4 linked regions of the Saccharomyces cerevisiae S288C genome follow. Changing the gene in region 2 together with the main gene of any one other region gives a genetic interaction. Each region holds a gene or a part of one and is shown on either strand. Other genes may lie near its edges. The genes, in order: ENT3, INP53, GGA2 and SER2.

The links.
Region 1: mutations in INP53 (region 2) and ENT3 together harm fitness more than expected from each alone (negative genetic interaction), as found in Saccharomyces cerevisiae (3 studies listed by BioGRID).
Region 3: mutations in INP53 (region 2) and GGA2 together harm fitness more than expected from each alone (negative genetic interaction), as found in Saccharomyces cerevisiae (4 studies listed by BioGRID, with this or other methods).
Region 4: mutations in INP53 (region 2) and SER2 together harm fitness more than expected from each alone (negative genetic interaction), as found in Saccharomyces cerevisiae (3 studies listed by BioGRID).

What each region holds. Positions count from the first base shown.
Region 1 is NC_001142.9:653,691-658,531, forward strand, and holds ENT3 (Ent3p), read right to left. Parts: upstream 2,274-4,841; coding exon 1,047-2,273; downstream 1-1,046. Other genes in the region: YJR124C (uncharacterized protein), read right to left, coding at 1-548; VPS70 (putative zinc metalloprotease), read right to left, coding at 2,564-4,841. UniProt on the Saccharomyces cerevisiae protein: Involved in the recruitment of clathrin to the Golgi network and endosomes to form clathrin coated vesicles. Plays a role in the trafficking of clathrin between the Golgi network and endosomes.
Region 2 is NC_001147.6:521,801-529,101, forward strand, and holds INP53 (phosphatidylinositol-3-/phosphoinositide 5-phosphatase INP53), read left to right. Parts: upstream 1-3,477; coding exon 3,478-6,801; downstream 6,802-7,301. Other genes in the region: GTPase-activating protein RGS2, read left to right, coding at 1-482; 2-isopropylmalate synthase LEU9, read left to right, coding at 1,227-3,041; transcription factor TFIIIC subunit TFC7, read left to right, coding at 7,141-7,301. UniProt on the Saccharomyces cerevisiae protein: Dephosphorylates a number of phosphatidylinositols (PIs) like phosphatidylinositol 4,5-bisphosphate (PtdIns(4,5)P2), but also phosphatidylinositol 3-phosphate (PtdIns(3)P), phosphatidylinositol 4-phosphate (PtdIns(4)P), and phosphatidylinositol 3,5-bisphosphate (PtdIns(3,5)P2).
Region 3 is NC_001140.6:325,730-331,361, forward strand, and holds GGA2 (phosphatidylinositol 4-phosphate-binding protein), read left to right. Parts: upstream 1-2,573; coding exon 2,574-4,331; downstream 4,332-5,632. Other genes in the region: thioredoxin-disulfide reductase TRR2, read left to right, coding at 1-897; septin CDC12, read right to left, coding at 1,084-2,307; CTM1 (cytochrome c lysine N-methyltransferase), read left to right, coding at 4,581-5,632. UniProt on the Saccharomyces cerevisiae protein: May play a role in the regulation of membrane traffic through the trans-Golgi network.
Region 4 is NC_001139.9:909,321-914,184, forward strand, and holds SER2 (phosphoserine phosphatase), read left to right. Parts: upstream 1-2,562; coding exon 2,563-3,492; downstream 3,493-4,864. Other genes in the region: TDA10 (putative ATP-dependent kinase), read left to right, coding at 1-765; ubiquitin-binding ESCRT-I subunit protein MVB12, read left to right, coding at 1,112-1,417; CIR1 (Cir1p), read right to left, coding at 1,523-2,308; thioredoxin TRX2, read right to left, coding at 3,593-3,907; YGR210C (uncharacterized protein), read right to left, coding at 4,183-4,864.

The sequences.
Region 1 (4,841 bases), on a different chromosome or scaffold from region 2:
TAACATTGCAAATCAGTAGCAGCTAAACCAGTTCTTTTCAAAAGATCTACAAATATACCACAAATTATTGCACCTAGAGCGCTTCCAATTGTTCCAACCAAGGCGTGAATAGCATAAATCTCTGGTCTTGCATTATGAGGACTCAGATGTGCAATCATGGCCTCTTCTATAGATTTGAAAGGCCCGACTTCATCACTTGAAGGCGATATAACACCGAAGATAGCAAATACTAGCAAGAGGGTGAAATTTTCGCTAAAACTGAAAACCAACCCACTTAACAACATCATTGCACAACCATAAACTAGGACTCTTCTTCGGCCCCAGGAATCCGCATACCAAGTAAGAATGTAAGAGCAAATTACATCCCCTGCCAGTGTTAATGACATAAACAGCCCAATTTTATCCTCTGTCATATTGATGGCATTTAAAAAAAGCGTCAAAACTTGATTTGTTAAACCATATGATAGAAGTCTAAGAAAGACGGACGCCCATAGTAGCTTTATGTCTCTACTTGCACACTTGAATTTAACAAAAATTTCCGGTGCCATGGTTACGTTAACTTTAGAAATATTGGTAAATCCTTCTGCAATGAGCTTTTTCGAGATGTGAAAAATTAGTAGAGTTTTCTTTCGTGCCTTTTTTTTCGGTGCGTCAACTTTAATATATAGTTATAATTGCTCTATAATGCTAGGCAAAAATAAACGAGAAGGAAGGTGAGTTTTAGTTCATTGACTAAAAATGAGCAAAAAAAGTCAGGAGTTTTTGTTTTGAAGGGCACTTCAACTCTCGAACTATGGATTTACAGTTTCTTCCTCGTCTTTTTAAGTAAAGTATTTTCAAATGACCAAAATGTAAATAAATTTGAAAAGGGCCCTTCTTTACGAAAAAAAGATCAAAAAAATGTTCACAAACTATTTCACGAAATCAAGACAAACATATAAAGGAGAAATACAGTGGAGATTAGATAGTAATGTTCGTAATACCTGTTACAAAGTACTTTCTATTGTTATAAAACATTTACATATTGTGTAAACCAATAATATCACTCAAAAGGAAAGTAAATCGATTTCTTTGGATGATGTATGGTTATTATTGGTATTCTGTTCTTGTTGAACAGCTCCACCATGCATTTCACCAAATTCGTCATCATCATCTTGATCTGTACTTAGTGCAGTTGTGCTATTAGATACAGGATTAGAGGCAGCGGCTTTCGCTTGGGATGCTTTAGGAGCACTAGGTGCTTCTGCAGATGCCTTTGCAGTTGAAAAGAGAGAGCTAAAAGGATCTACTTTTTTAGGTTCCGCAATAGCTGGGGTAATCTTGCCTTGGTCGGTAGTGGAGCTGTTATAAAAAGGCATTGAACTCGTGGTGGCGGGCATACCCTCAATTGGGCTCGTGTTTAGCAAGTTAAACGAATTAGCAGGGTTGGTAACAGGGACGGCGCTTTGAAATTCTGAAAACTCGTCATCATCGTCCTCTTCTTCGTCCGCCTTCTTTTCATCTTCTTGTATGAGTTCTTTAGATGGTTTTGAAGACTCACTAGAAAAAAAGTCAACAAAGTCCTCTGGTTCTTGTTTTCCTTGCCCAGGAGTAGATGTGGCTCTCGAGGCATTATCGTTATATCCATTTTGACTAAAAGAACCATCTTCGTTATCTTCATTGTCACTATCGAAATCAGCACTCACGCTAATGCCGTGCACTTTCGTTGACGTGAAACCTGCCTTCGAATTCAAACTGCCATCAGCAGAGGCAGATCCTCCAGCAACGCCCTTGTACTTCTTTGCCGTTTCTCTTGCCTTTTTTCTTTCTGCGCGTATCTTATTATCGTCGCTCAATAATTCAATCAAAGCTTTGACCCTAGTTCTGACATTAATTCCTTGATCTCTTCCCTGGGAATCAATATAGTGAAAAGTTTCTAAAATCCTAATTAAGTTAATGCTATTCCTTGTATCATCGATAAACCTTTCAGAACCGTGTTTGATAAGGTAATCGAGCAATTGCAAGGCTTTATAAATTTGCCTCCACTCACTACCTGCCTTTTCAGTGAACCTTCTGAATATCATGGACAAAATTTCTTCTCTTTCCCTGAAATTGTAAGTTCCTTGAGAAATCTGGTCCATTAAAGTGGATGAGGCACCCCAAGGCTCGTTGTTTGTCGCTTCACGAACTTTCCCCTCCATCTCAGTATAATTGAAAACAACATTTTGAGCTTTACGAAAATATTTCTTGGCGTCATATAATGACATGTTGGCTAATGTATCCTCTAAACTCATTCTTCCTAACACTAATTAACGATGTGATCTCCTATCGACGTCCCTACACCTTCCTGAATTGGTAATTTTTGCTTTCCTCAAATAACTGTATCTACAAATCATTTCATGATTCTTCTAGTCCCCTTTTACTTTTCCTAATCACCTCGCACAACGTACGGTGTGACATGTATAAGAAATTGAAGCCATGTTTATAGAGTATATACAAAAAAGCCTCTCATGGTTATTATTCAAAGTCACTCTACGTATGCAAATAAAATAAATGTATATACTGAGGTGAGGTACTTAAATGCTTATTGAAGTAAATAGCGAACGTTGCTGAATTGGCTTAGCAAAATGGTTAACCACTGAATGACCTCGTTTCTATCAATATCAGCCAATCCTTCGTGAAGGCCGGGCAAAACTTCCCCGACAGATCCCTCAAACTTACTAGGTGCTAAAAGAGAGTACTTCATCCATTCCCTGTCTTTCAGTCCTCTGTGTGTAATAAATAATTGATCAATTTGCTTTGATTTGCTATTGGATCGTTGCAGTTTAATATAGCTCTTGATTTTTTTGTAAAAAGCCCAAACAGGTAAAGCTTCCCTACACTCTTTATAGAGAATACCATTTTGTTGGTCAAATTGGATGCTATCTTCCTGTGTGGCAACTTTTAATAAGTCCAGAACCCTTTTTGCTAAGCTGTTCACTTCATCGTCCTGGGGAAATGCTGAAGATAGATTAGAGTGCCATGCGATATACCAGTTATATATTTTCTTCAGGTAAACATGTGTATTGAATCTTGCCAGTTCGTTTTCACTCAGCATCAGCGTTGTCAAACCTACAAACATGGCCATGGTGTTGTGTAACTTGTAGTCAGAATTGGTAAATTTTTCCAACCAAGTTGGGCTATCGAATACGGAGTTACTATGATAGACTGCGCCTGAAGTATCATTGGCATTAAACTGAAAATGTGCAGCGGGCACTCCAAGATGGTACTGAAATGAAGTGTAACTAGACAACCCATCAAGTAGAGAAATAGTGGCATTAGAAGTGTATTTCCAATGGTCGAACAATGACCAGTCTTCGTGCCCATTAAATTCCGTGAGCTTAGCAGCTTCGTATATCACGTCTTGTAAAAGTGGGTTGGCTTTACAGTGAAAATTTGTCCCAGAGATTGCATTATCTAGATTTAGGTATACCAAGGCCCTTCTCCTGAGAATCGCAGCATGAGCTTCTGCATAATCTGTAGATCCCAGAAGGCCGGATCGTTCACCATCCCAACTTATTAGTTTGATAGGACGCAGTGGCTTCCAACCATGCTTAAGTAATTTACTCATTCCTCGTGCAATTTCTAAAAGAATAGCGCTGCCACTATTTGCATCACCGGCGCTACTCGAGGCGAGCGAATCCCTATGAGCTCCGATAATAATCTCCCCCTCAGTGAATATACCAGGGATACTAACCTCTACACTACTCATTTCCTTGATGTTGTAAGTTAGCTCATTATGCAAATGGACTTTATCGATAGAGCTTGAAGGTCCAGTGAATGATCCAAAATCTTTTATATTACTACCGGGCCCAATTTGAAAACCCCTGCCATTCAATCTTTCTAAAATTGGTTGGACATCTCTAGCACTCATCGGCACCGATGGTATCCTCGGCACTCTCCCTACCGGTGACATATGTTCAGTGTCGGAATCCTTGGAGGGATACCCTGGAGTTGTCGGATCTCCTGGAGTGTCACTGAAATAGTTTACAGAATCTCTCCTAATATAACTTGGGTTTCTTGCTGGTCCATAAGGATAGTGTAAAAACCCATTTTCCTCAGTAACTTTACCATCGTCAAATGGGTCTGTATATATAATGACACTGGAAGCGCCATAAAGTTCTGCATTCTTTACCTTTAATCCAGGTAATATTTTACCCGATCGTACGATGTGGATTTTATCTTCAATATCAATGTTTTTCTTCAAAAGTAGCTTGTAATCACTGATGCTACCATAATTGCAAAACACGTATCGAGCAGTTACACTTCCATTTTTTGAATATTGATGGAAACCCTTTTGCCTTTTCCTAGCGTGAGAAGCAGGATCACCTTTAACTCTATCCTCGATCATGCTTGCTTCGTAGACCACTTTACCATTTTCTAAAGGAGCTACGTTAGTGTCTACTGGTTCACCTATCCATGGGTAATATTTTTCAACTTTGGGTTTGTACCCCATATCTAGAAACTCGTCCAAGGTATATTTAAACGTTGACGAATCACTTGCTCCGTTGCTCATGTACCCAGCATACTTGTATACATGTTCTTTCGCTCTATTTTCCTGTTGCAAGGAGTTCAAGTATATCCTATAAACCTCTGCATTCGTCAATCTGGAAGAGTGAAACCGCCGAAAGTCTCTTGATAAAGACGTCCTGGGAGCAAATGCGGCAACAAATCCCATGTACAAAAGGAGACTCGCTAGAATCAAGTACATAAACTTTTCCTTGTCCATATGTTCTTTCATTATTTCATAACCACTAACAATACTAGATATTGTATTACTTCTGCCTCTATTCCTGGATGTTAAAGTGAAAGAATCATTCATG
Region 2 (7,301 bases):
GATTTGTGAGTTCTGTTAATGAGAAAAAGTACTCCGCCACATATGCCCACAATGACTCTGCTACGGAACAAGATCTCAAAAACGAGTCTACAACTTCTTTTTCGTCATTAGGCGTGGAGGATATTTCTGAAGATAGAAATTCGTATCTTAAGAAGCCTGATATCAATGGTTTGTCAACTATCATTCAAGAAACGTCTGCAAACACGACCAATGAGTCGCAATGCAGCGATCGCACTTCTCGGCCAAGCGAGTCCTCTTCCTCACTCAACACTACCAGCTCGACCTACAAGAATACCAGCACTAGAAATCTGCAAAAACCGCAAAATACAGGAATTCTCAACTCGGGGAAAGGTTTATTGCAAAAACTTAACTTTGTTAAAAAACGGAAATCTTTCAAACAGCCTTCAGGCGTCATTTGTAGCCATTATAACAGCAATGTTCAAAACCGTTTGAAAGGACAAAACAGTCATCAACAAAGATAGCCTCTTCATCATCTGTGGAGACACAAATATCTTCATCCTCATCGCCATTACCCAATAAAGCGATCGGTAAAAATGAAAAAAGCGTTGAAAACGGCTTTAAAAAGCTAAATTTGCATGATATCAGTTAATCAAGATTAGAACTTTGATTAAGTAGAACAACGATAGAAAATCCGCTTTTCTGGCTAGTTCCCTCGTTTCATATTAATTCATTTCACACAATTTACTTCATTTCATCACGCTCATATTGTTTGTAACTTTAGTTTTTATTTAATTTTACGTACATGACACTGCATATAATTATTTCACAGGCATTTAAAATAAGAGCATTGGGCACAGTCTTCTTTTATATGTTGTCATATTCAAACACTAAACATTTATCTGTATAGTAATTAATGTTAGCTCTTCCTTCTGCATGGCGCTTGTTATATACTTCATTCGTCTATTTTGGTGCCGCGCGCCATCATGGTCCGGTAACGGTCGTAGTGAATGACTCATATTTTTCCATCTCTTTCGGCCTTGCCAAAAAATGAAAAAAAAAAAAAAAAAAAAAAAAAAAATTAAAAACGATGTCCAGAATCACAACTACAACATAGTTTTGCCTCTTACTGGCTTGATTGGAAGTTAGCTGTTAAATTTCAATAATGCCTTACTTTACTCCACGAAATCACAATCCTTGTTTTCGGCTTATAAGGGTCTTCTCCTTAGGATAATACTATCGGCACATTATCATTTAGCCGCGTAGCCATGGTAAAACATTCGTTCATAGCGCTAGCTGAGCATGCTAGTAAACTAAGAAGGTCTATCCCACCCGTCAAACTGACTTATAAAAATATGCTACGGGACCCATCGGTAAAATATAGGGCGTTTGCTCCACCAAAAATGGTCAAGAGGATTTGGCCTGACAAAACTATTCAAAAGGCTCCACGTTGGCTGTCTACTGACTTGAGGGACGGTAATCAATCTTTACCGGACCCAATGTCTGTGGCTCAAAAGAAAGAATATTTCCACAAGTTGATCAACATCGGTTTCAAAGAAATCGAAGTGTCTTTCCCCTCTGCATCTCAAACAGATTTCGACTTCACCAGGTATGCTGTAGAAAACGCTCCAGATGATGTTGGTATTCAATGTCTTGTCCAATCTAGAGAACACTTGATTAAAAGAACCGTGGAAGCATTGACTGGTGCTAAAAGGGCTACCATACATACTTACTTGGCCACAAGTGACATGTTCCGAGAAATTGTCTTCAATATGTCTAGAGAGGAAGCTATTTCTAAAGCTGTAGAAGCCACCAAACTGGTTAGGAAACTAACCAAGGATGACCCTTCCCAGCAAGCTACTCGTTGGTCCTATGAGTTTTCTCCCGAATGTTTCAGTGATACGCCAGGTGAATTTGCTGTAGAAATTTGTGAAGCTGTTAAAAAGGCTTGGGAACCTACCGAGGAAAATCCGATCATTTTCAACTTACCAGCTACTGTAGAAGTTGCCTCTCCAAATGTTTACGCTGATCAAATTGAGTACTTCTCTACCCACATTACTGAGCGTGAGAAGGTCTGTATTTCTACGCATTGTCACAATGACCGTGGTTGCGGTGTCGCCGCCACAGAATTAGGTATGCTTGCAGGCGCTGATCGTGTAGAAGGTTGTCTATTTGGTAATGGTGAACGTACAGGTAATGTTGATTTGGTTACAGTTGCCATGAATATGTATACCCAAGGTGTTTCTCCTAATTTAGATTTCTCAGATTTAACTTCAATTTCTGAAATTGTCCATCGCTGTAACAAGATTCCAATTCCCCCAAGAGCCCCATATGGCGGTGAATTGGTTGTTTCTGCCTTTTCTGGTTCTCATCAGGATGCAATTAAGAAGGGATTTGCAATCCAAAACAAGAAACAGGCTCAAGGAGAAACTCGGTGGAGAATTCCATACTTACCATTGGATCCAAAGGATATTGGACGTGATTACGAAGCCGTCATCAGAGTCAACTCTCAATCCGGTAAGGGTGGTGCTGCTTGGGTTATTATGAGATCTCTAGGATTAGATGTACCAAGACCAATGCAAGTTGATTTCTCCAATACTCTACAGAAAAATGCAGATGCCTTAGGAAGAGAGTTAAAATCCGAAGAGATTACAAAATTGTTCAAAGAAACTTACAACTACAACAACAATGAACATATATACGTCACCTTGTTGAATTACGAAGTTAAGAAATTGAACCCAGAGCGTAGAGCTTTAGTGGGCCAGGTAGAAATCAACGATAAGGTTGTCAACATCGAAGGCTACGGAAATGGTCCTATCTCTTCTTTGGTGGATGCGCTATCCAATTTACTGAATGTTAAGTTGAGCGTTCAAAACTACTCTGAACATTCCTTGGGTTCTGGTTCTGCAACCCAAGCGGCATCTTTCATAAATCTTTCCTACATAAAGGACATCAATAATCATGCTACTAGTAATATGTGGGGTGTTGGTGTCTCCGAAGACACTGGGGATGCATCTATTAAGGCGGTATTTGCTACTGTCAATAATATTATTCATTCCGGGGATGTTCTACTGGCAGAGTAATAGAAAGGAGTAGCTTATGATTACTCATGTTATATATATATGTATTTTTATTTATAAATGGCACAGAAAAGTAACTTATTTCACGTTAAAAAGACATCTTTCAGCGAAGTTTCCAAACACTTCTTCGATGTCTGTGTGGAAAGTTTCTTTCGTTTATAGTTTTATTATTTTTTTTTGCTTTTTTTCCCATGGTACCATTTCCTTTCGTGAAACATTTTACCCAGGCCCACCCACCGCATAATCTTAACTGAATCCGAATAGGGATTTTTCGAGCACTACTGCAACTGTTGAGTGAGCTAGGAGTAGTGTAATTTGAGACTTTGTGAAGGGAGAACAGTCAATATCCAATATCATATTAAGAAAGCTAGCAGTACCTTAAGAGGAAGAAAGAAAATAACTGGGGCGAAGAATATCTAGTTATCCACTCCTTCATAGAATGATTATCTTTGTTTCAGAAGAACCTGAAAGGAGGCTAGCCATTGTATCCAACTTGTATGCTCTTGTTCTTAAACCGGTTGGGAAAAAGCCATCTGATAAACCCCTTTGTGCCATTGAACTTCTTCAAAAAAATGATTTGAAAAAATATGGCTTCAAAAGACTTACATCACACGAAATTTTTGGTGTTATCGGACTCATTGAGGTTAATGGCCTGCTGTTTGTTGGTGCCATCACTGGGAAATCAAAAGTTGCACAGCCATGCCCAGGAGAGACTGTGAACAAAATTTTTGCTGTCGATTTTTTTTGTTTAAATGACAACAGTTGGGATTTTATTGAAATCGACTCCTCAGGTTATCCTGTGTTGCCGGAGACTGCTTCAACTGAATATCAAGACGCCTTGCCAAAACATCCATGCTATGAATTGAAGAAACTATTATCCAATGGATCTTTTTATTATAGTTCAGATTTTGATTTGACCTCAACCTTACAGCATCGTGGATATGGTCAGCATTCTTTGAGTACAGATACCTACGAAGAAGAATATATGTGGAACTCTTTTCTCATGCAAGAAATGATCACATACAGAGATCATTTGGACACAAATTTGAAACAAATCTTGGATGACGAGGGGTTTTTAACAACAGTTATCCGTGGATTTGCGGAAACTTTCGTCTCGTACGTTAAGAAGTTGAAAGTTGCTCTTACTATCATCTCGAAACAGAGCTGGAAAAGAGCAGGAACAAGATTTAATGCACGTGGTGTGGATGATGAGGCAAACGTTGCCAATTTCGTAGAAACGGAATTCATTATGTATTCTAGCCAATACTGTTATGCTTTTACACAGATTAGAGGCAGTATACCTGTATTCTGGGAGCAAGGTACCTCTTTAATCAATCCAAGAGTACAAATTACAAGATCATTTGAAGCCACCCAACCGGTATTTGACAAACATATCATGAAATCAGTGGAAAAGTACGGACCTGTGCATGTCGTTAATTTGTTATCAACGAAATCTTCTGAAATTGAACTTTCAAAACGATACAAGGAGCATTTAACTCATTCAAAAAAATTGAACTTCAACAAAGATATATTTTTGACAGAATTCGATTTTCATAAAGAAACTTCGCAAGAAGGCTTTTCCGGTGTCAGAAAACTCATTCCATTAATATTGGACTCTCTTTTATCTTCTGGCTATTATTCTTACGATGTTAGAGAAAAAAAGAACATATCTGAACAACATGGCATATTTAGGACCAACTGTTTAGATTGTTTGGATAGAACAAATTTAGCTCAGCAAATTATTTCTTTGGCTGCTTTTAGAACTTTTCTCGAAGATTTCCGATTGATTAGTTCAAATTCGTTCATCGACGATGATGATTTCGTTTCTAAACATAACACCCTGTGGGCTGATCACGGTGATCAAATTTCCCAAATATATACTGGTACTAATGCTTTGAAGTCCTCATTTTCAAGAAAAGGTAAAATGTCACTTGCTGGGGCATTATCAGACGCCACAAAATCGGTCAGCAGAATATATATTAACAATTTCATGGATAAAGAAAAGCAACAAAATATCGATACTTTGTTGGGAAGGTTACCGTATCAGAAAGCAGTGCAACTTTATGATCCCGTAAACGAATACGTAAGTACGAAATTACAAAGCATGTCTGATAAGTTCACATCAACCTCCAACATTAACTTGTTAATAGGATCATTCAATGTTAATGGCGCAACCAAAAAAGTTGATTTATCAAAGTGGTTATTTCCAATCGGTGAAAAATTTAAACCCGATATTGTTGTTTTAGGTCTTCAAGAAGTTATAGAACTATCTGCGGGTTCGATTTTGAACGCTGATTACTCGAAAAGCTCTTTCTGGGAAAACTTAGTGGGTGATTGCTTAAACCAGTATGATGATAAATATCTGTTGTTAAGAGTAGAGCAAATGACTTCTTTACTAATTTTATTTTTTGTTAAAGCAGACAAAGCTAAATACGTCAAACAAGTGGAGGGTGCTACTAAAAAAACTGGCTTTAGGGGTATGGCTGGGAATAAAGGTGCAGTGTCTATAAGATTTGAGTACGGTGCCACTTCATTTTGTTTTGTCAATTCTCATCTCGCAGCAGGAGCTACGAATGTCGAAGAACGTCGAAGTGATTACGAGAGCATAGTTAGAGGTATTACTTTCACTAGAACTAAGATGATTCCTCATCACGATTCGATTTTCTGGTTAGGTGACATGAATTATAGAATAAATCTACCGAACGAAGACGTCAGAAGAGAGTTGCTCAACCAAGAAGAAGGATATATCGATAAACTGTTGCATTTTGATCAACTTACCCTAGGTATTAATTCTGGCAGTGTATTTGAAGGCTTCAAAGAACCAACTCTCAAGTTCCGTCCAACATACAAGTATGATCCCGGGACAGGAACTTATGATTCTTCTGAAAAGGAAAGGACGCCGTCATGGACAGATAGAATTATTTATAAAGGGGAAAACTTACTTCCTTTATCTTATTCAGATGCTCCGATAATGATTAGCGACCATCGGCCAGTTTACGCAGCATATAGAGCAAAAATAACTTTTGTTGATGATAAAGAGAGACTATCTCTCAAGAAACGTTTATTCACAGAATACAAACAAGAGCATCCCGAAGAACCGGGTTCTCTGATATCGGATCTTCTCAGCCTTGATCTGGATAATAAGAGCACTGATGGATTCAAAAGCTCTTCTGAAAGTTCTCTACTTGATATTGATCCGATAATGGCACAACCGACAGCGTCCAGCGTTGCTTCTTCGTCACCTGTGTCTTCAGCATCGGCTTCACTACAACCTGTCAGAACTCAAAACAGTAGCCAGTCGCGTACCCCCATAAAGAAACCGGTATTGCGCCCCCCACCCCCACCTGCTCATAAATCTGTATCAGCACCTGCTCCTTCAACATCGAAGGAAAAATCACCAACACCACAGACCTCAACTGCATCGTTGTCATCTGTGACTAAAAATATACAGGAAAATAAACCATTGGCGCAAAATAGACGAATTCCACCACCAGGTTTTAGTCAAAATATATTAACTCCAAAAAGTACCAGTAACTTGGCTTCGCCTATGTCTTCTAAGGTTGATTTATATAATAGCGCGAGTGAATCTACACGTTCAGCCCAAGATGCAAGACAACAGACACCTACAGCATTTGCAGCATCAAGAGACGTCAATGGGCAGCCCGAAGCTTTGCTAGGTGATGAAAATCCAATTGAGCCAGAGGAAAAGGCCAAACTAAACCATATGACTTTAGACTCATGGCAGCCATTGACCCCAAAATGAGAATATGTTATCTTTGAAGTGTGGTTGTTGTTCCGTTTGTATCCCTTTAAATGAACGAAGAGAAACAAGGGGGCTAACCTGGCCAGGTTGTTTTATGTGATTTTATTTAGATAAATATTTATATAAATATTCAGTGAGAGAAAAGGAGTGCGTTAATAAGGCGCGCCGGGTTTAAAGCTGAAAAATAGGACACATTAATATATATACGTTAAATATTGGTGAATACTTATGGGCAAGGTGGAAGAGAATCTCTACTATCCATAAATCCTCAGTAGGCTTTCCCCTAATTACCTTCATTTTTCTACCTCAATAACATATTACTCCTTTTCAATACATTTTATGGTGGTGAACACGATATATATCGCAAGGCATGGATACAGATCCAACTGGCTTCCGGAGGGTCCATATCCTGACCCACTTACAGGAATTGATAGCGATGTTCCTTTAGCAGAACACGGAGTCCAGCAAGCCAAAGAGTTGGCCCATTACCTTTTGTCCTT
Region 3 (5,632 bases), on a different chromosome or scaffold from region 2:
TTGGCAAGAGCAGAGATGAAGCCCACATTATATGAGGGAATGATGGCCAACGGAATTGCTGCTGGTGGCCAATTGACAACAACCACCGATATCGAAAATTTCCCAGGGTTTCCTGAATCGTTGAGTGGCAGTGAACTGATGGAGAGGATGAGGAAACAATCTGCCAAGTTTGGCACTAACATAATTACCGAGACTGTCTCTAAAGTCGATTTATCTTCAAAACCATTCAGATTATGGACCGAATTTAATGAGGATGCAGAGCCTGTGACCACTGATGCTATAATCTTGGCCACGGGTGCTTCCGCTAAGAGAATGCATTTACCAGGGGAGGAAACCTACTGGCAGCAGGGAATATCTGCCTGTGCTGTATGTGATGGTGCAGTCCCTATCTTTAGAAACAAGCCATTGGCCGTTATTGGTGGTGGTGACTCTGCGTGTGAGGAAGCGGAATTTCTTACGAAGTATGCGTCGAAAGTATATATATTAGTAAGAAAGGATCATTTTCGTGCATCTGTAATAATGCAGAGACGAATTGAGAAAAATCCAAACATCATTGTTTTGTTCAACACAGTTGCATTAGAAGCTAAGGGTGATGGTAAGTTATTGAATATGTTGAGAATTAAGAATACTAAAAGTAATGTGGAGAACGATTTAGAAGTAAATGGACTATTTTACGCAATAGGTCACAGCCCTGCCACAGATATAGTTAAAGGACAAGTAGATGAAGAAGAGACGGGGTATATAAAAACTGTGCCTGGATCGTCTCTGACTTCTGTGCCAGGTTTTTTTGCTGCAGGTGACGTTCAGGACTCTAGGTATAGACAAGCAGTTACTTCTGCTGGTTCCGGATGCATTGCTGCTTTGGATGCAGAACGGTACCTAAGTGCCCAAGAGTAACGTGAAAAAACCGGTTTATTTTTGTTTTTACTGTTCGATTGTGTTACGTATTCTATGTTTTTTGAGATATATTTGAAATATTTTTATAAGATACATATATATATGTGCGTATTGCTGCGACAAAAGAAGAGACAAAGAGATAGGCGTTGAAATTGACGAGACAAAGAGGAAGACATTAATTAATCATCATTTTAAATGGGATTTTTTTACTTGCAAGCTTTTGACCTGCTCTTCTAGTTTTTTTACCTTTCCTTGAATTTCTTCCAAGTCACCGTTCAGTCTGATTCTTTCGTTAACAATGTTTTGCTCCCATTGTCTAAATCTTTGCTCCTCAGCTTTGACTTGGTCAGTGAAATACTTCTTCAATGCATTTTCTTCTTCTTTGTATCTAGGATTGTGTGACAATTTCCTTGCTGGTGCAATTGCTGGAAGAGTGAAATCTTCATTCCCCTCCCCGGTGTTCTCGTGACCCTCAAGTCTTAATCTTCTGTATGTTTCGTAATGCATTTCTTGGGTGGTAGAAATCAAATCTAATAGATAAGTCCTCAGTAACAGGGCTCTGAGCTTACGGAAATCACAATGAGAATCGTTTTCGATTTCCACAAGTCCCCAAGGATACTTCCTTGCAACTACCTGAGTGCCTTGCCCATTGTCAAATTTTTTTTCAGACCCTACTATGGCAAATGGCATTGCTTCTATCAACTGTCTTGCATGTTCAACAGCGGCAGAATCTGGATTACTGCCACTTTTGGCATCTTCCTTAGAATCAGCGTCTAATGGAGGCGTGAAAATACGAATTTCTTGAGCTTCTATTACTTGCCTGATTCTGGACTTGAACTGTTGTAATTCTTGGGCAGTCAATGTATCAGCTTTCGCAATAACTGGAATCAGATTGGCTCTGGTTGACAATCTCTTCATAGTCTCAATGTCAATTGGCTTTAAACCATGTCCAGTGGGCCTGATGAAGTACAGAACGGCATGAACTCTCAAGTCAAATTTCTTAGTACGGTACGGTTGCTGCTCTTGACGCATATAAGAATCGTGTTGATCATCAATAAAATCCACCAATGGTTGCCAGGCTTTGTTGTTATTCACGTTATCTCCAAAACCTGGGGTGTCGATGACATTAACGCGTAATTCGAAATGCTTCTCTTCCAGCAAAGCTCTTGTGATGTCGATTTCTACAGTCTTTCTGATGGGTTCTTGGCGGTGTTGCTGACCATCTGCCCTTTTCAAGACAGTCTGAAATAAGGTATTAATAAATGTAGTTTTACCCAATCCGCTCTCACCACATAACATCACGGTGAATGTACCACCTTCTTCATTAACAATTTTATAACGCTGGTTGGGAAGATTGGATATCCCTACAGGAGGAGGAACAGGGGCAGCAGTCGCAGTGGCAGCACTCATTATTTGATACAATATGTGATGTAGTTCGTTATCAATACTCTTCAGGTCAAGATCCTATATCTTGCTGCACCTTTCAAGACTTTGATCTACTCAAAACAAACAATGGTGATTTCGAAAAAAATTTCGGATTCTTCACTTTTCCAGCGCCCTGTTTTTTTTCTGTAATCACGATTGCAAAAAAAAGAGACTTACCATAGGACAATTTCCATAAACAAAACAAAGAGCAACATAACTCATAGCTGAATTGCTAATCGTGATACTGCATCATGTCCCATCCGCACTCACATAGCATATATTTGTCTGAGTTGCCCGTCAGGAAACCTCAAGCCTTGGGCAATCCTCTTTTGAGGAAGATTCAAAGAGCTTGCAGAATGTCACTTGCTGAACCAGACTTGGCGTTGAATCTTGACATTGCTGACTACATTAATGAAAAACAGGGCGCTGCCCCTAGGGATGCTGCCATTGCACTTGCTAAACTGATCAACAATAGAGAATCGCACGTGGCAATATTCGCGTTATCTCTATTAGACGTGCTTGTCAAGAATTGTGGATACCCATTCCACTTGCAAATTTCTAGAAAGGAATTTTTGAATGAACTGGTCAAGAGATTTCCAGGTCACCCACCATTACGTTATTCTAAGATTCAGAGATTGATTTTAACTGCTATTGAAGAATGGTATCAAACAATTTGTAAACACTCAAGCTACAAGAATGATATGGGTTATATTAGAGACATGCACCGTTTGTTGAAATATAAGGGTTATGCATTCCCCAAAATCAGTGAATCCGACCTAGCAGTTTTGAAGCCTAGTAATCAATTGAAGACCGCTAGTGAAATTCAAAAGGAGCAGGAAATTGCTCAAGCTGCAAAACTCGAAGAATTGATCAGGCGTGGTAAACCTGAAGATTTGAGGGAAGCTAACAAATTAATGAAAATCATGGCAGGGTTCAAAGAAGACAATGCCGTTCAAGCTAAACAGGCTATTTCCAGTGAATTGAACAAATTGAAGCGTAAAGCCGATTTGCTGAATGAAATGCTGGAATCACCTGACTCACAAAACTGGGATAACGAAACTACACAAGAACTTCACAGTGCATTAAAGGTAGCTCAACCAAAATTTCAAAAGATCATTGAGGAAGAACAGGAAGACGATGCGTTAGTGCAGGATCTATTGAAGTTTAATGATACAGTTAATCAACTATTGGAAAAATTCAACTTATTGAAAAACGGTGACTCCAACGCTGCTTCGCAGATACATCCAAGTCATGTTTCTGCTCCGTTACAACAATCTTCTGGTGCTTTAACGAATGAAATCAACTTAATCGATTTCAATGATTTGGACGAAGCGCCCTCTCAAGGCAACAACAATACCAACGGCACGGGTACACCAGCAGCAGCGGAAACATCTGTCAATGACTTATTGGGCGATTTGACCGATTTATCTATTTCGAACCCTTCAACCGCTAACCAAGCATCCTTTGGTCTGGGAGGCGATATCGTGTTGGGGTCCTCTCAACCCGCACCACCAGTTACTACTACTAACAACTCGAACAACACTTTAGATCTTTTGGGACTTTCAACTCCTCAATCGCCAACTAATTCCCAAGCAGTAAACAGTAGTGGGTTCGATCTTTTGATGGGATTTAATCCAACAACAGGTACTACTACTGCGCCCGCAAGAACCCTAGTCAATCAGTCTCCTAACTTGAAGATTGAGTTCGAAATATCTAGGGAGTCAAACTCAGTTATAAGGATAAAATCGTTCTTTACAAACTTAAGTTCGTCACCGATCTCCAACTTAGTGTTCTTATTAGCAGTCCCTAAGTCAATGTCTTTGAAATTGCAACCCCAATCGAGTAACTTTATGATTGGCAACGCTAAAGATGGTATCTCTCAAGAAGGTACAATTGAAAATGCGCCAGCTAACCCTTCAAAGGCTTTGAAAGTCAAGTGGAAGGTCAACTATTCTGTCAACTCCACCCAAGCTGAAGAAACTGCTGTTTTTACGTTACCTAATGTATAATCCTCTGGCGTTTCTTATCAATCCTTTCTCTTCTCTATGTATATTTTTAGAAGGATAATACCTCTATGTAGACAATCTTATAAAGATCTTCGCAACAATACATATTTCACTTACTAATATATGTTGCGTTTTCATGCATCAAAAGTAGTTAGCAATGCTAGATCGTGTAAAGGAAAAAAAAGAGAAATAGTATAATTCGCCATCCTCATAACCACTGAAAAATCGAAGTTAACCAAAAGGAAAGTTGAAATGGAGGAAGTGTTCCGTTTTTACTCGAACTCTAGAAATATCTTCATTCATAAAAGCCTTTCATTAAAACCATCCACCATTGATGACCCCAAAAGTGGATATGGCCTTTTCGTAGAACCTTCGAAGTTCAAGAATGATGAATTGAAAAGTGAAACTATCCAATTGCTCCGAATCCCTAAGCGCTGCACGTTTAATATAAACACACTTCTGGCTCTCTTGGGAGATGAGGACGAATTTTCTTCAAAGGAAGAATTTCAAAGAACTAATGACAAAATTAAGATTGCTCTTCGTGAAATAATGGCTCATCCGAATTTCAGTGTGTTCCTGACAGAAACAAATTTACTCATAATTTATTTCATGATATTTCAAACTATTCGTAGTCGTTATGAGATTCCCGAAAATATCCAATATTATTTAGAAAATGTTTTAATGAGCATTGAAGTAGAAACAGCCATGGATTCTATTGAAAACTTAGCTACTGATTATGGACATTATCCACAGATTTTTGGCCTTCGAGAGACGCTAAATTTATTTAAAGAACTGTTTCACGACGTCTTGAATTTAAGTGATATCAAACATCTTTATTCTGCAATAATTTCACGTTGTTTAGAGATACCAGAAAGGGCCGATACCAAAAGTGAAGAATTCACGGTCCATTCTACTTTAGTCCCTATTGTAGATTTTGCCAACCATGAAGGCACCCAAAAAAATGCTTATTTTGACATCGACCCTTCAAATAATGACGTTTTACTTCTATTGGATACAAAAGCGGTCCAAAGTGAACTCACAAAACCTATTGAAGTTTTCATTAGTTACTCACCAACAGAGGATTTATTTTCCATGCTTGTAACATATGGATTCACCCCAGATTTTAGAGGGAATTCCCAATTTTGGACTGTATCCTTTGACAGGTGCTTTTTAAGAAACTATGATGGACCAGATAAAACTACAAATTTAAGATTGTTTTACAAATGGATGCACATAAATCCAGTGGTACCACTAGTTAAATACGAGCACAACGGAAAGACTCGCTGGTTTCTCAATGACACCAC
Region 4 (4,864 bases), on a different chromosome or scaffold from region 2:
TCGGGCCCACAAGGCTCAGGCAAAAGTTTTACAAGTATCCAAATCTATAACCATTTGATGGAAAAATATGGGGGTGAAAAATCTATCGGTTACGCCTCAATTGATGATTTTTATTTAACTCACGAGGACCAATTGAAACTCAATGAGCAATTCAAGAACAATAAGCTGTTACAAGGACGTGGTTTACCAGGTACTCATGATATGAAATTGTTGCAAGAGGTATTGAACACCATCTTCAATAATAATGAACATCCGGATCAAGATACTGTCGTACTACCCAAGTACGATAAATCCCAATTTAAAGGAGAAGGGGACCGTTGCCCCACTGGTCAAAAAATCAAGCTACCAGTCGATATTTTTATCTTAGAAGGTTGGTTCCTCGGGTTCAACCCCATTTTGCAAGGAATTGAGAATAATGATCTTCTTACTGGGGACATGGTTGATGTCAATGCCAAGCTCTTCTTCTATAGCGACTTGTTGTGGCGCAACCCAGAAATCAAATCTTTAGGGATAGTATTCACCACCGATAACATTAACAATGTTTATGGCTGGAGACTACAACAGGAGCATGAACTAATATCAAAGGTCGGAAAGGGGATGACCGACGAACAAGTGCATGCTTTTGTGGATAGATACATGCCCTCCTATAAACTTTATTTGAACGACTTTGTCCGGAGTGAAAGTTTAGGTTCCATTGCTACATTGACGTTAGGAATCGACTCCAACAGGAATGTATATTCTACGAAAACGAGATGTATTGAATAGTGATGTTATGACCTTTTTTTTTACGCCTTTTTTTTTTTTTTTTTTTTTTTTAATTTATCTCACTTTTCCCTTCTATTTTATGTACTAACAGATAATTTTATAATGATTTCATGTATTTTTGGTTCAGAATTTTGACAAGGCAACTCTTGAATAATTGTCGTATGCAAAAAAAATTGTTTATCTGTTACATATCCATCATAAAACTTTTATAGAGCTTTTATTGTCCTTCTTATACAAATACCGTTCAGAGGCTGTCCGAGATTTAAGCGGTTTTGGAAAAATTACTGCTATTAATTAAGATTAAAAAGGAAAGGAAAATAGCAATGGGAGCTTATCGCATAAAAAAATGAACAATAATGTTGAAGAACTCCTACGGCGTATTCCCCTCTACAACAAATATGGTAAGGATTTTCCACAAGAAACAGTGACTAGGTTTCAGATGCCTGAATTTAAGTTACCAGCGCTACAACCAACAAGGGACTTATTATGCCCTTGGTACGAAGAATGTGACAATATCACCAAAGTCTGTCAGTTACATGATTCTTCTAATAAGAAATTCGATCAGTGGTACAAGGAGCAATATCTGAGTAAAAAACCACCGGGAATTGTTGGAAACACACTATTATCTCCATCAAGAAAGGATAATTCCTAGTTAAATTGCATTTCGATATCTATGTACACATATACAGCAATTTTTTTTTATAAACCTTAGTAATATTATCAGTTTTCATTTTATGTCATTTGACCTTTGTTGCATTTAAATGGCCTTAACTTCTTTTAACTTTTCAATCAATTCATCCACAGAATTCAATTTCACACCAGGTGACTTAGTCTTTGGCTCTTCCATCGACACTATCTTTAACTGAGGTTCAATATTAATTTCAGGAAAATCTTTTGCTATATCCAATTTTTCAATAGGCTTTTTCTTCGCCTTCATTAGTTTGGGCAGTCCTACGTAACGCGGAGTGTTCAATCTCAAATCTGTAGTAATAACCATTGGTAAGGAAGCTTCAATTACTTCTTCTCCATCGTCAATTTCTCTTGTTACCTGAACTCTACCATTATCAAGGAATTCCACCTTTGCCGCATTTGTTGCCTGTGGCCAATTTAATAAACCTGCCAACATCTGACCGGTGTTGTTACAGTCATCATCAATGGCTTGCTTTCCCATCAAAACCAGATTAGAACCCTTCTTTTCAACAACAGCTTTTAAGATTTTAGCAATTGCTAAGGGCTCTATGTTTTCTTTACCCACAGAGTCAATTAAACTACAGGTGTCTATTCCCTTAGCAAGGCAATTTCTTAGAATATCCTGAGCTTTGGCGGAGCCAATAGAAACTGCATGCGTAGATTCTACTAAACTCTTGTTCTTTTCTTTAATTCTGATGGCTTCTTCGACAGCAATATCATCGAAAGGGTTGATACTGAATTTGATTCCACTGGTTTCAATCCCAGTTAAGGTCTTATTTACTCTAGGCTTGATCTGGAAATCAACTACCCTTTTCACCGGAACTAATATACGTAGTTGCTGTTTTGCAGACATTTTTATTACTCTTTCTGATACTTGATTATCGGGGTTATTGATCCTAGTGTGTCTTGACAACGTTTCTCGAATCAGGATTATTTTACACCGAGAAAGAAAGAGTCAATACTAATAATCTCGAAAGATCTTCAAGTGAAAAATAAAAAAAAATGATAAATAAAAAATAGAAACTATGAAACTATGTAAAAAAAAAACAAATAGACATATCCAAGCAAGTCCAATAGCATAGACATTAAGCACGACAGCTGTAAAAAATGTCAAAGTTTGTTATCACCTGCATAGCTCATGGAGAAAATCTCCCAAAAGAAACCATCGACCAGATTGCGAAAGAAATTACTGAAAGCTCGGCGAAAGATGTATCAATCAATGGTACCAAGAAACTATCGGCCAGAGCTACCGATATATTCATTGAAGTCGCAGGATCGATTGTTCAAAAAGACCTCAAGAATAAGCTGACGAACGTCATTGACAGTCATAATGATGTTGATGTTATTGTTTCTGTCGACAATGAATATCGTCAAGCCAAAAAGCTCTTTGTCTTTGACATGGATTCAACATTAATCTACCAAGAGGTCATCGAATTGATTGCCGCTTATGCTGGTGTTGAAGAACAAGTGCACGAGATCACAGAAAGAGCCATGAACAATGAACTTGATTTCAAAGAGTCTTTAAGAGAACGCGTTAAATTATTGCAAGGCCTCCAAGTCGATACACTATATGATGAAATAAAACAAAAGCTAGAGGTCACCAAGGGTGTGCCAGAACTATGCAAGTTCCTTCACAAAAAAAATTGCAAGCTCGCTGTTTTAAGCGGTGGTTTTATTCAGTTTGCCGGTTTTATCAAGGATCAGTTAGGTTTAGATTTTTGTAAGGCAAACTTGTTGGAAGTTGACACTGATGGAAAATTAACCGGTAAAACACTGGGTCCTATCGTAGACGGACAGTGCAAGAGTGAAACCCTTCTGCAACTATGTAATGACTACAATGTTCCAGTTGAAGCAAGTTGTATGGTGGGTGACGGTGGTAACGACCTGCCAGCCATGGCTACCGCCGGGTTTGGGATCGCATGGAACGCCAAGCCAAAGGTGCAGAAAGCTGCACCTTGTAAGTTGAATACCAAGAGCATGACTGACATTTTATACATTCTTGGTTACACCGATGATGAAATATACAATAGACAATGAAGAAAATAATGATAGATAGATGTAATAGAGTTTCTTTTTAAAATTGTTTATTTAAACTGGTAAACATGATGTACTTTACGTAGCGTTAATATACCGGCAACTATACGTTGGAAGCAATAGCTTGCTTGATAGCAGCTGGGTTGGCACCGACGACTCTGGTAACCTCCTTACCGCCCTTGTAGAAGATTAGGGTAGGCATGGAAGAAACTTCAGCTTTTTGAGCAACATCTGAGACTTCATCAACATCCAACTTGTAAAAAGCAGCGTCAGAATATTGTTCTGCAAACTTTTCAATCATTGGTGCAATCATTTTACATGGCCCACACCATGTGGCAAAAAAGTCAACAACGACTAACTTGTCGCCAGATGCTAAAGCACTGTCGTATTCAGAAGCGGATTTTAATTGAGTGACCATTATTGATGTGTTATTTAAAGATATCGTAGACTCTCGTGTATGTGTGCGTGTATAATTCTTGCTAGACAACAAATAAAAACTGGTCCTCGTTATTCTCTTGTCAGCTTTTCATCCCCCGAATGGCTTTCTTATATACTGATATCCCTCTTTCGGCTGGCTGGAAACTGAACGCGCTTAGTAAGAAAAGAGCCACCTTGTAGGGAGCATCCTTTACTAAGAGTATAAACAATTACACATATACTTTGATGATTACTTAATATTCACTGGCACTCAAGTTATGCTGATCTTGGAGCGATCTTGAAGCCGAGTATGTCATTCTTACCGGGCTCAACAAGACTTTCTTCACTGACTCTCACGCCGCCAACGGTTTCAATGCTTGCAATGGTGACCTCGCCACCCATGATATACCTGGCAACTTTGCCAACAGGGGTTCCTCGCTTGACCAAAAAACAATCTCTAAATACGTTGGTTCCGTTGCCACCCGTAAAAGTCTGGATGTTCTTCACAGTGTACACCGGTATTAGACCAAGGATGTCCGTTGCTGCTTGCAGAACCTGAACAACACCCGTAGATCCGAATCTATACAGGACCAAATCTCTGATATTTTCAATTCTGTTAAGGATCTTGTCGTCCAGTGGCTTTAGTTTGTCTGGCTCGTCCTCAAATGTGTCAACAAATTCCGTGCCCTCCTCGTATAATATAAAACCTTGCTTTTTCAATTTCCTCAAAAAAACTTCCGTCACTGCACTGGTCAGTACAGCTTTGGTGTCAGGATACTTTAGCATGATTTTAGAAACATTTTTATCGGCGTCAGGGTGGTCAATCTTGTTGAGTGCCAACACAGTTGGAAATTTCTCCATCATAAAGGACTTGACCACTCGAGTGATCCATTCGTCATCCCATTTTTCCAAAGGTGGTAGTCCCTTCAACCTGTCCAGGGCTTTTTGGATCATGGGC